Linked DNA regions of Oryzias latipes. The protein of the gene in region 1 interacts with the protein of each later gene in a pairwise test. Links are inferred from orthologs where the notes say so. Each region holds a gene or a part of one and is shown on either strand. Other genes may lie near its edges. The genes, in order: cluap1 and cinp.

What was found.
Region 2: the proteins of cluap1 (region 1) and cinp interact in binary tests that used the Homo sapiens proteins (3 or more experiments, as listed by UniProt). The two-hybrid records come from large-scale screens. The link is inferred for Oryzias latipes from reciprocal best matches to the Homo sapiens genes CLUAP1 and CINP.

What each region holds. Positions count from the first base shown.
Region 1 is NC_019862.2:10,331,572-10,335,309, reverse strand, and holds the end of cluap1 (clusterin-associated protein 1), read right to left. Parts: coding exon 3,597-3,738; intron 3,319-3,596; coding exon 3,246-3,318; intron 3,161-3,245; coding exon 3,050-3,160; intron 1,999-3,049; coding exon 1,949-1,998; intron 1,204-1,948; coding exon 1,027-1,203; 3' UTR 739-1,026; downstream 1-738. UniProt on the Homo sapiens protein: Required for cilia biogenesis. Appears to function within the multiple intraflagellar transport complex B (IFT-B). Key regulator of hedgehog signaling.
Region 2 is NC_019880.2:161,234-165,609, forward strand, and holds the start of cinp (cyclin-dependent kinase 2-interacting protein), read right to left. Parts: upstream 2,888-4,376; 5' UTR 2,704-2,887; coding exon 2,670-2,703; intron 2,115-2,669; coding exon 1,964-2,114; intron 566-1,963; coding exon 436-565; intron 1-435. UniProt on the Homo sapiens protein: Component of the DNA replication complex, which interacts with two kinases, CDK2 and CDC7, thereby providing a functional and physical link between CDK2 and CDC7 during firing of the origins of replication.

The DNA.
Region 1 (3,738 bases):
ATATTTTTCTGCAATCGATGTTATCCTGCAAAAAACGTATAATTAAACCCACTAAAATCTTTTTGGCAAATTTTCTGTGATATTATCTTTAGTTACAAAGAAATGTATGGTCCCCTTTTCTTTGCTTAAAACGTATATTGTTTGGTTTCCATCAACAGGAGTTAAGTTTTAATCAAATTTTTCCACTCTAATTTTTACATGTATAAATGTACATTTTCCAACTAAATCTCAATTATTTTTTTTAAATACATTTTTGCTAAATAAATTACTTTTTCAAAAAGTTTTAAAACGTCCTTTATTTTACAAAATAAAATTGTTTTAAAAAAAATTGTAATGTTATGTCAAACATTGTTTTACACACTCATTCTGTACTTTTATTTATTCTTACTGGCATTTCATTTTATGTCATTCTTTATTTATAAGTTTGCATTAATGTACAATGTATATTGATATCTTTGGACTTTACCTGATATTTACAATAAGCATCTGGGGAAAAAAAAAACTTGCACTCATTCATGTTTTGTAATTGCGTTTATACTTATCGGTAATAAATTTGTAAAAAAAAAAAAACTGTATTCACACTGATTTAAGTCAAAACGTTTTGGAAATATTAATAATTAAGTCTTTCTGTGTCTATTGTAGTGGGCACAAAACAAAAAAATAGACAATGTCTATAATAAGTACAACAAATAATTAGATAAAGGCTTTTTACTTTTCCATCATAAAAGGAAACATCAACCATTTCTTTATTTTTTTATGTATTAAAAGGCTTTAAAATAATTTAAGAATTACAAACAGACAACAAAACTACTATGCAGTTAGGGATTTTGATAGTTCATACAGTCAAAAACAAGAGCTACATCATAAAGTGAAGAGAAAATAGTCTCAAATCCGTTGAGGCTATTTTCACTCCACATATATGCTGTAAATAACAATGTTTATACGTTTGAGATAAGCTGATATCATGGTCCAACTTAAAATACAAGTTAGAAACAGACAAATTATAGAATTTGGTGAGCTCTTTTCTTAAAAGTCATTATCACTTTCATCCAGCAGAGCAGGCCTCACTGCTCCAATTGAAGGACGGTTGTTTCTAGACATGGGACCTTCGAAACTATCATCCTCCAAATCCTTGCTCTCCTCCTCTCTTTCCTCATCTTCCTCATCATCGTCGTCGTCCACATCGATTTCACTGTCATCAGTCTAGATTAACAGGGATAAAGTCATGAGCAATAGTCTGTTCTGAGCAGTCAAATCTAACAGGAGAAACTCGACGGGTTCTGCACACAGGCTGTAGAATCACATGGGAATCTATGCTTTGATTATTTAGCTAAACACATAACCAGGTCAAATGTTTCCACTACTTTAGACAGGACACACTAGCCTTTTAGCGTGAACAGAAAACTCAAGTCATTTAAAGGAAAAATCCACCTTTAGCTCAAAAGTGAGAAGTGTTGGTGCAGCTCGTTCTGATGATACTCTGATGTTTTATGGAAAAAATGCGACAGCACCTTTTCTCTTATTCAAGCTCTTGTCTGCAAAGCATGTTCAATGAATATTACTGACATTTTTAACTTCTGTAAGTAGTATAAATATTTCCCAACATTTACTTTGAGGATTGATTTTTCCTTCAAATACACAAGGAGCTGGAAAAAAAACATAAAGTGGGCGTTTGTCTTGCACAAACCTTTCCTTTCGGGTGTTTTTTGAACTGAGGGACTGATGTTTTGGACACTGGTAAAAATACCTTATGAGATATGAGTAAACATTAATGAAAAAAGACTAAGTGGTGAGGTCAGCAGAAAACACAGGATAACTGGACATCAGGTAAAGTTGAATTACCATCAAAAGTTGCAAAAGGCAAAAAGCGATAAATCCTTTGAATGTTGGAAGTCTCAGCCCATGGAATGAATATGAAGGAAGCAATGTGAGTAAGAACATCACTAACCTCATCGCTGTCACCACCCTGCATGTTACCAATAAAAAGTCCTCCTCTCCCTTGTTGGAAAAGAAAAAAAAAGCATTTTTGAGAACCAGAGTTTCATGGATTTTCTGGATTTTTTTTTTTACGTTTTAGCTTTAAATTTTGGGATTAAATAACTTTAAGACAAGGTCCAAATTCCCTCACTACTCCATAGCATCCATATAGTGTGGGACTGGATTTTAAAAACAGTTCGGACATCATCCTCATGTGTTTCTTTTAAACGGCAAATGTGACATCATCAATTTCCAGAAATTCTTCTTTACAAATACTATTTATGAATCCACTGGGTTCTGCTAAAAAAGACTTGAATGATTTATAAAAAATGAATTTGAATATGTTTTTTCACATGAAAAAAAACATTCAAATGCAATGCATTGTGGTCTACATTTGCCAATCTAGTGAGCATTGATGCACACTAGTTTTTTGCAGAGACTTCCAAAGGGCACTGAATTTTGGAATTGTTTTCGGACAGCTCACAAAATGGTGATTTATCGCACTCTTTAGTGCAATAAATAGTGAGTAGTGAAGGAATTCAGACACAACTTAAAAGTGAACTGATAATGGTAAAGATGGTCAAAACTATCTCTAAACACATTCTGTGTAAAGCACAGAGGAACACTTTAAACAGAGATTTTTTTAATGCTTAAAATAATAGAGAAAATTTCCTTTCTGCTCACAGTTCTAAGGTCTCTTTATATATGTCATCATCTTAGTTTTCATAAAGTTTTTTTCTGCAATTGAAAGGCTCCACTTCTCCTGCTTCAAAGCTCAATTACGCTTAAGCTCAATCAAAGGTTAAAACTATAAAATATAAGGCAATAGAGTGCGAATGGCTTTGTTATTAACAGACAACCTGTACTCTTTTGGTGGTTGGTGTATACTTTTTGCACTGTGGGAGCTGGGATCATGGGGTACAGTCTCTTTGACATTTAGCAGTTCAACCAAGTTTTAGAATCCAAGTTTTCCTTTGAGAAAACCTAAATGAACGCTTTTTTCTCCTTTTTTAAGGTTGGTTTACTATGTACACGTTGAGAGATTATGTTCTTCTTCAAGCTGTCTGCTTACCAGTCATGAGGCCGTTTCTCATGGGCCGCGGCTTTGAAGGCCGAGATTCTTCAAGGTCGCTGTCGGAACCTTCATCCTCAATGACGCCCAAGTCAGAGTCTTCATTTGTCACTTCAGAAGAAATAATCAAGAAACTGCTTTGAGCTAAAGATATTTGGGACATGGGACTTTGCTTAAAGTGTGTGTTTGATCTCACAGGAGCCCCTCATCAGGTCAAGTTTCTCCTCTCTCAGTTTGTGCTGCATTATCCTCAGAGTGTTTTCAGCTTCCTACAAAAGAGGCGACACAGACCATGGAAAGTGAAGCACTTTTAATCATTTTCTGCAGAAAAAAACAGATCCTTCTGCACTCAAAGAACAGTTATCTTTTGCTTTTATTATCTTTGTCTAAAAAAGTAATGGAAGAAAAAAATATATTCTGGTTTTCTAGCATTAAAGAGACAGTGTCACATTTGACTGAGGCAAACATATTTGAAATGTTTATTATTAATCAAAAACTCAATTTAAAAGAAACTAATGAGAAGCCCTCAGTGCTTCTATATCCGTACCTCAAACCTTTCCTTTTCTAGTCTGTGGTGTTCCTCCAGCTGAGACTCCAGAAAGCTGAGGTTTCGGAATTTCTTCTCGTAAAGGTCATATTGCTTCTTCAGCTCCTCTTCTATCTTCTCATATTCATCCATGAATGCTGGC
Region 2 (4,376 bases), on another chromosome or scaffold:
ATTTAGCCCTGCAGGCGGAGAGTTCTGGAAAATAGAGTCGTCAAATCTGGACGTTGCTACAGTTAGACGACGTCACGAATAGTCGCCGTCAGCGTGTAGCTGCCAGCATTCGGAAAACATGATGTCGCTTTGATAACTTTATAAAATCGTTAAATGACATTTCTGAGCGTCAGACCACGCCCACGTGAAGAAAAGCCTCTCCATGGTACAGCACGCCGCCGAACGCCCTACTGGCGGAGGGTCGCTACGTCTCCCCCTAAACGAACACTCTCGGACACCACTATGGCTCCAAATGCTCCTAAATTTGGAGCAGCAGGGAGGAGCCAGAGGTGTGGCTTTGGGTCTGTATGTTCTGGTCGGTCACAGCAGGTCCAGTTCTGGTTCCGATGCATTCCTCCTCTTTTATTCAGTGCCTTCAGGTCTGAAGGAACTCACCATTTTCTCCACGATGTCCAGCAGTTTGAGGCACTGAGCCTGCAGCTCTGCAGCTCCTGAGGGCTGCAGGGTCGCTGAGGAGGAAGACGATGATGAAGCTTCAGGAACCAGCAGCTGCTCATGTTGAGACCTGAGGAGCACAGGACGGGTCAGAACCTTCTGAGTGACGGGCAGGACATTAGTGCACGCTGAGTGGCAGGAGACACCTGCAGGTCAAACAGGTGTAGTCGGGCAGAACGCTCTGCAGACGGACAGGAAGTGAGCTGAAGGCGCGCAGACATGGACTTCCTGTGATGTCATATGTAGCTACCTGATCTGGAACGGCTCGCCGATTGGTGCCCGCATGTGGGAACGTTGTGTCACTTCCTGTTTGCGCCAACATTGTAGCCATTGAGCAACATTATTTAGATATGCTTCTGTAATTCGTATGTTTGTTCTTCCGAGGTGTAAACTTTGTGATTCAATGTTGAATAATTAAAAAAAATAATTAAAAAGATCAGTTCTGAGTAACATCATTGATATTTTCATTGTCTGTGAAAAAAACAACATACATGTATGTAAAGAGTAAATACATGTACATACAGTGTACATACATGTATATACATACATGCATGTACACTGCTGCATTACAGCGACGGTCTTTTAGTTTTGGGCGCTGTAATCGGGGGGGGGGGGACTTCTCTGCTGTTTTTTTTTAACTTATTCTGTCCAACAGCTGAGCAAACTATGACGGAGTATTAGGGCCACCAAAAAAAATAAATAATAAAATTACGAGTTTTTTTCTCGTAAATGTACGAGATAAAATGTCGTAATTTAACTTTTTTTTTGGTGGCCCTAAAACTCCGTCGTAGCAAACAGATCAGAGCTGAAGGCCTTTTTGTTGGACAGGATTTACTACAAAGAGGTTATAGAACTCCAGAAACCAGAGTGTAGATTTGAATAAACCCCTTTTTGCTACTTTATTATTTTTTATTTATTAGTTACATTTAGTGTGTGTGTGGGGGGGGGGGGAGTAAAGGGAATAGAGGTGAAAAAGTGGGGGATAAAAGCACTGATTTGAATAAGTTATTATATTAAGCTGTAACAATTCTACCAGATCTGCTGGAAAGACAAATGTTACATCCAAGGTGAAAATCTGAAGACATCTGTCCATCAAGACACTGTGGGTTGGGGGGGGGGGGCAGACAGGGAGCAGTGTGCACGTGCAGGTGGGGGTGGAGATACATGCACGCTGCCAAAGTGAACCGTGTGTTCATAAGGGGAACCAGATCCTCCCCAGCCCGACCAGGAGAGGGGGGGAGGGAGTGTCGTAAAGGAGGCTGAGCTGTCGGGAAATGTTAACATTTATTTTGATAATTTAACAATGAATTACAAAGTTTACCATCTTGGAACAACAAACATACGAATTACGGAAGAAAATCTAAATAAAGTTGCTCAATGGCTACAATGTTGGCACAAAGAGGAAGTGATGTCATCTTGGAGGGACCAGTACTTCCTGTGACGGCGTACGGTCTAGAAACACAATCACCTCTTGATGTTGACGATGTTGGTTGCGACGTCAAAGCCGTCCTCGCTCAGTTTGTCCCACCTCAGCATCAAGTTGTGCCAGTCGGCAGCATTATCTCTGACCTTTCGTGCACTTCCTGTGACTGCATGGCACTTCCTGTTTGATGATCTCCCTGTCAAACAAACACCCTGGCATGAGAACCCTGCAGACTTACAAAGCGTGGCTCCGTGGAAAATGCTGTTTTTGGTGTTTTAACGTGTTCTTGTGGCTTTTCTCTGATGATGGAGGACATTTCTAAAGAAATTTAAGATTCAAACTGCATTTCTGAGGATTTCTGTATTCATATCATTGTCATTCAAAAAGCTTGTCAGTGTGATGTGGAAGCCACTACGGCGGGCAGAGGCTCCGCCCCCTTCTGATAATCCACCTGCAGATAAACATCTTTGTTTTCTGGATCTAAACTGTACGCCTGGATAGATTTCTGTTCCACCACTAATATCAGGGTTTGAGGGACTGTAAGCTAGTGGGAGAGAGTGTGAACAGATGCCTGATGGGAAATGGGGGCAGGCTTACTCTGCCCCAAAAGTTCCCCCCAAAACACGGAGGTGAATTTCTAATGAAATCCGGCCGCTCTGCAGAAACTACGTGTTAGAAAACGACATCATGAAAAGACGACCAGGAACGACTAACAAGGTGACCTTCAGTGAAGATCCACTTCATGCCTCACCAGCAGGTTCCCACAGTGAAGCATCATGGGACATATCGTGCTGCAAAGTTGAAGAAGGCGGAGCTTGAAGGGGGTGGGATACAGTAGAAAGAATGTGGTGGAGAGGTGAAGGTGGTGTTTGGATCAATCTAATGAGGGAGGAGAGGCAGACTAATGCTTCATGGTGACTCTAAAGTGTCCCTAGGTGTGAGTGTGCATGAGTGTGTGATTGTGGCCCTGCGACGGACTGCCCACCTGTCCAGGTTGCCTCCCACTTTCACCCACGAGTGGCCAGGATAGGCTCCAGCAGCCCCATGACCCCAAAAGGGAACAAACATGAATGAAAGATGAAGACTAAAGCAGAACATGAGCTCCACCTTTACAGTCTGGAGGTCAAACTAATCTGCTGCTCCCTATAGGGGGCGCTGCAGTGACTCAGCCTCCTCCCTCATGTCCTCCTTCATCCATGAACCTCCTCTTTCCTGGTGTCTCCAGCCTCTCCAGCCTTTCATCATCATCATCATCATCATCCCTGCTTTCATCTCCAGAACATCTATGATCCTGGTTCCAGAGAGAACCTCAGCATCTTCATCTCCTCCTCCTCCTCCTCTCTCTGGCGGCTCTCACCAGTCTGCTACACCTGACCTTTGGTCACACCTGAAACCCTCTTCCACCCGCTGCCCCCCCCCCCCCCCCATCCACCTCTGGACTGTTGAAAAGCCCCCCCCCTCCCTTCTGCTCCCCGGAACCCCGCCGCTTTTCTTCCGTTCCTGTCGTTCACGAACGAAGTGTTCTTTTTTCACGATACTACTCGCTCAAATTCTGCATAGTTGGGGTTGACGAGTCACGTGACCGGATGTTCCCACCGTTTCCAGAAAGGACTCGTGCAGACGCCAGTCCTTCCGTGTTTGGTCCTCTAAGCTGGATCTGATTCCACTCACCTTCCATATCGATCATCTGGACCCCCCCCCCCCCGGAAGGGTTACGTTCTTCTTCTATGGTTAGCACGGTCCACAGCGCCCCCTTCCGGTGTGGGTACCGGATGTTCTCGGGTTGCCGGATGTTCTCGGGGTCCTTCAGGGTCCTTCCAATGAGTTATATCACTAGAGGAGACATCACGTGGTTCCTCATAGGAGGAGAGCACCGCCATCTTGGTGAGGTCAAGTTTTGAAGACCAAACCACTTTTTATAACATTTAATAAAGAGCTCTGTTTTTACTTTCAATCACTTCATTATATGAAAAAGAAGAATGGCTTGAAATTGCTTAGTTTTGTTCAGAAATACAAACTTCACGAGTACCCCTAACTTAACTAGTATTAGACTATTTAGATTTTTTCTATGTTCCTTTATTTTATTTTACTTATGTTTTTATTTATTTGTGTGTTATGTTCATTGTTTCTTTTTTCCCCTCTATTCTTTATTTTCTATGTTAATATATTATGTTTGGCAATGGTGACTGATCTTCGAAGCAATATTCATTACATTGTTATTGTTCGTTGTTAACGTTAATGTCATTGTTAATGTATGATACCGCAATTGTCAATAAAGTTTTTAAAAAAACTTAGCGACGTTAATTCATTGGTCGTGGCAACTTACAGCCAATCAAATAGTGCGACGTCATCATTGGTCGAAGGACCCCGAAGGACCCCGAGAACATCCGGTAACCCGAGAACATCCGGTACCCACCCCGGACGGCGTGTTGTATGCGACCAAAGGACCGCCAGTGCA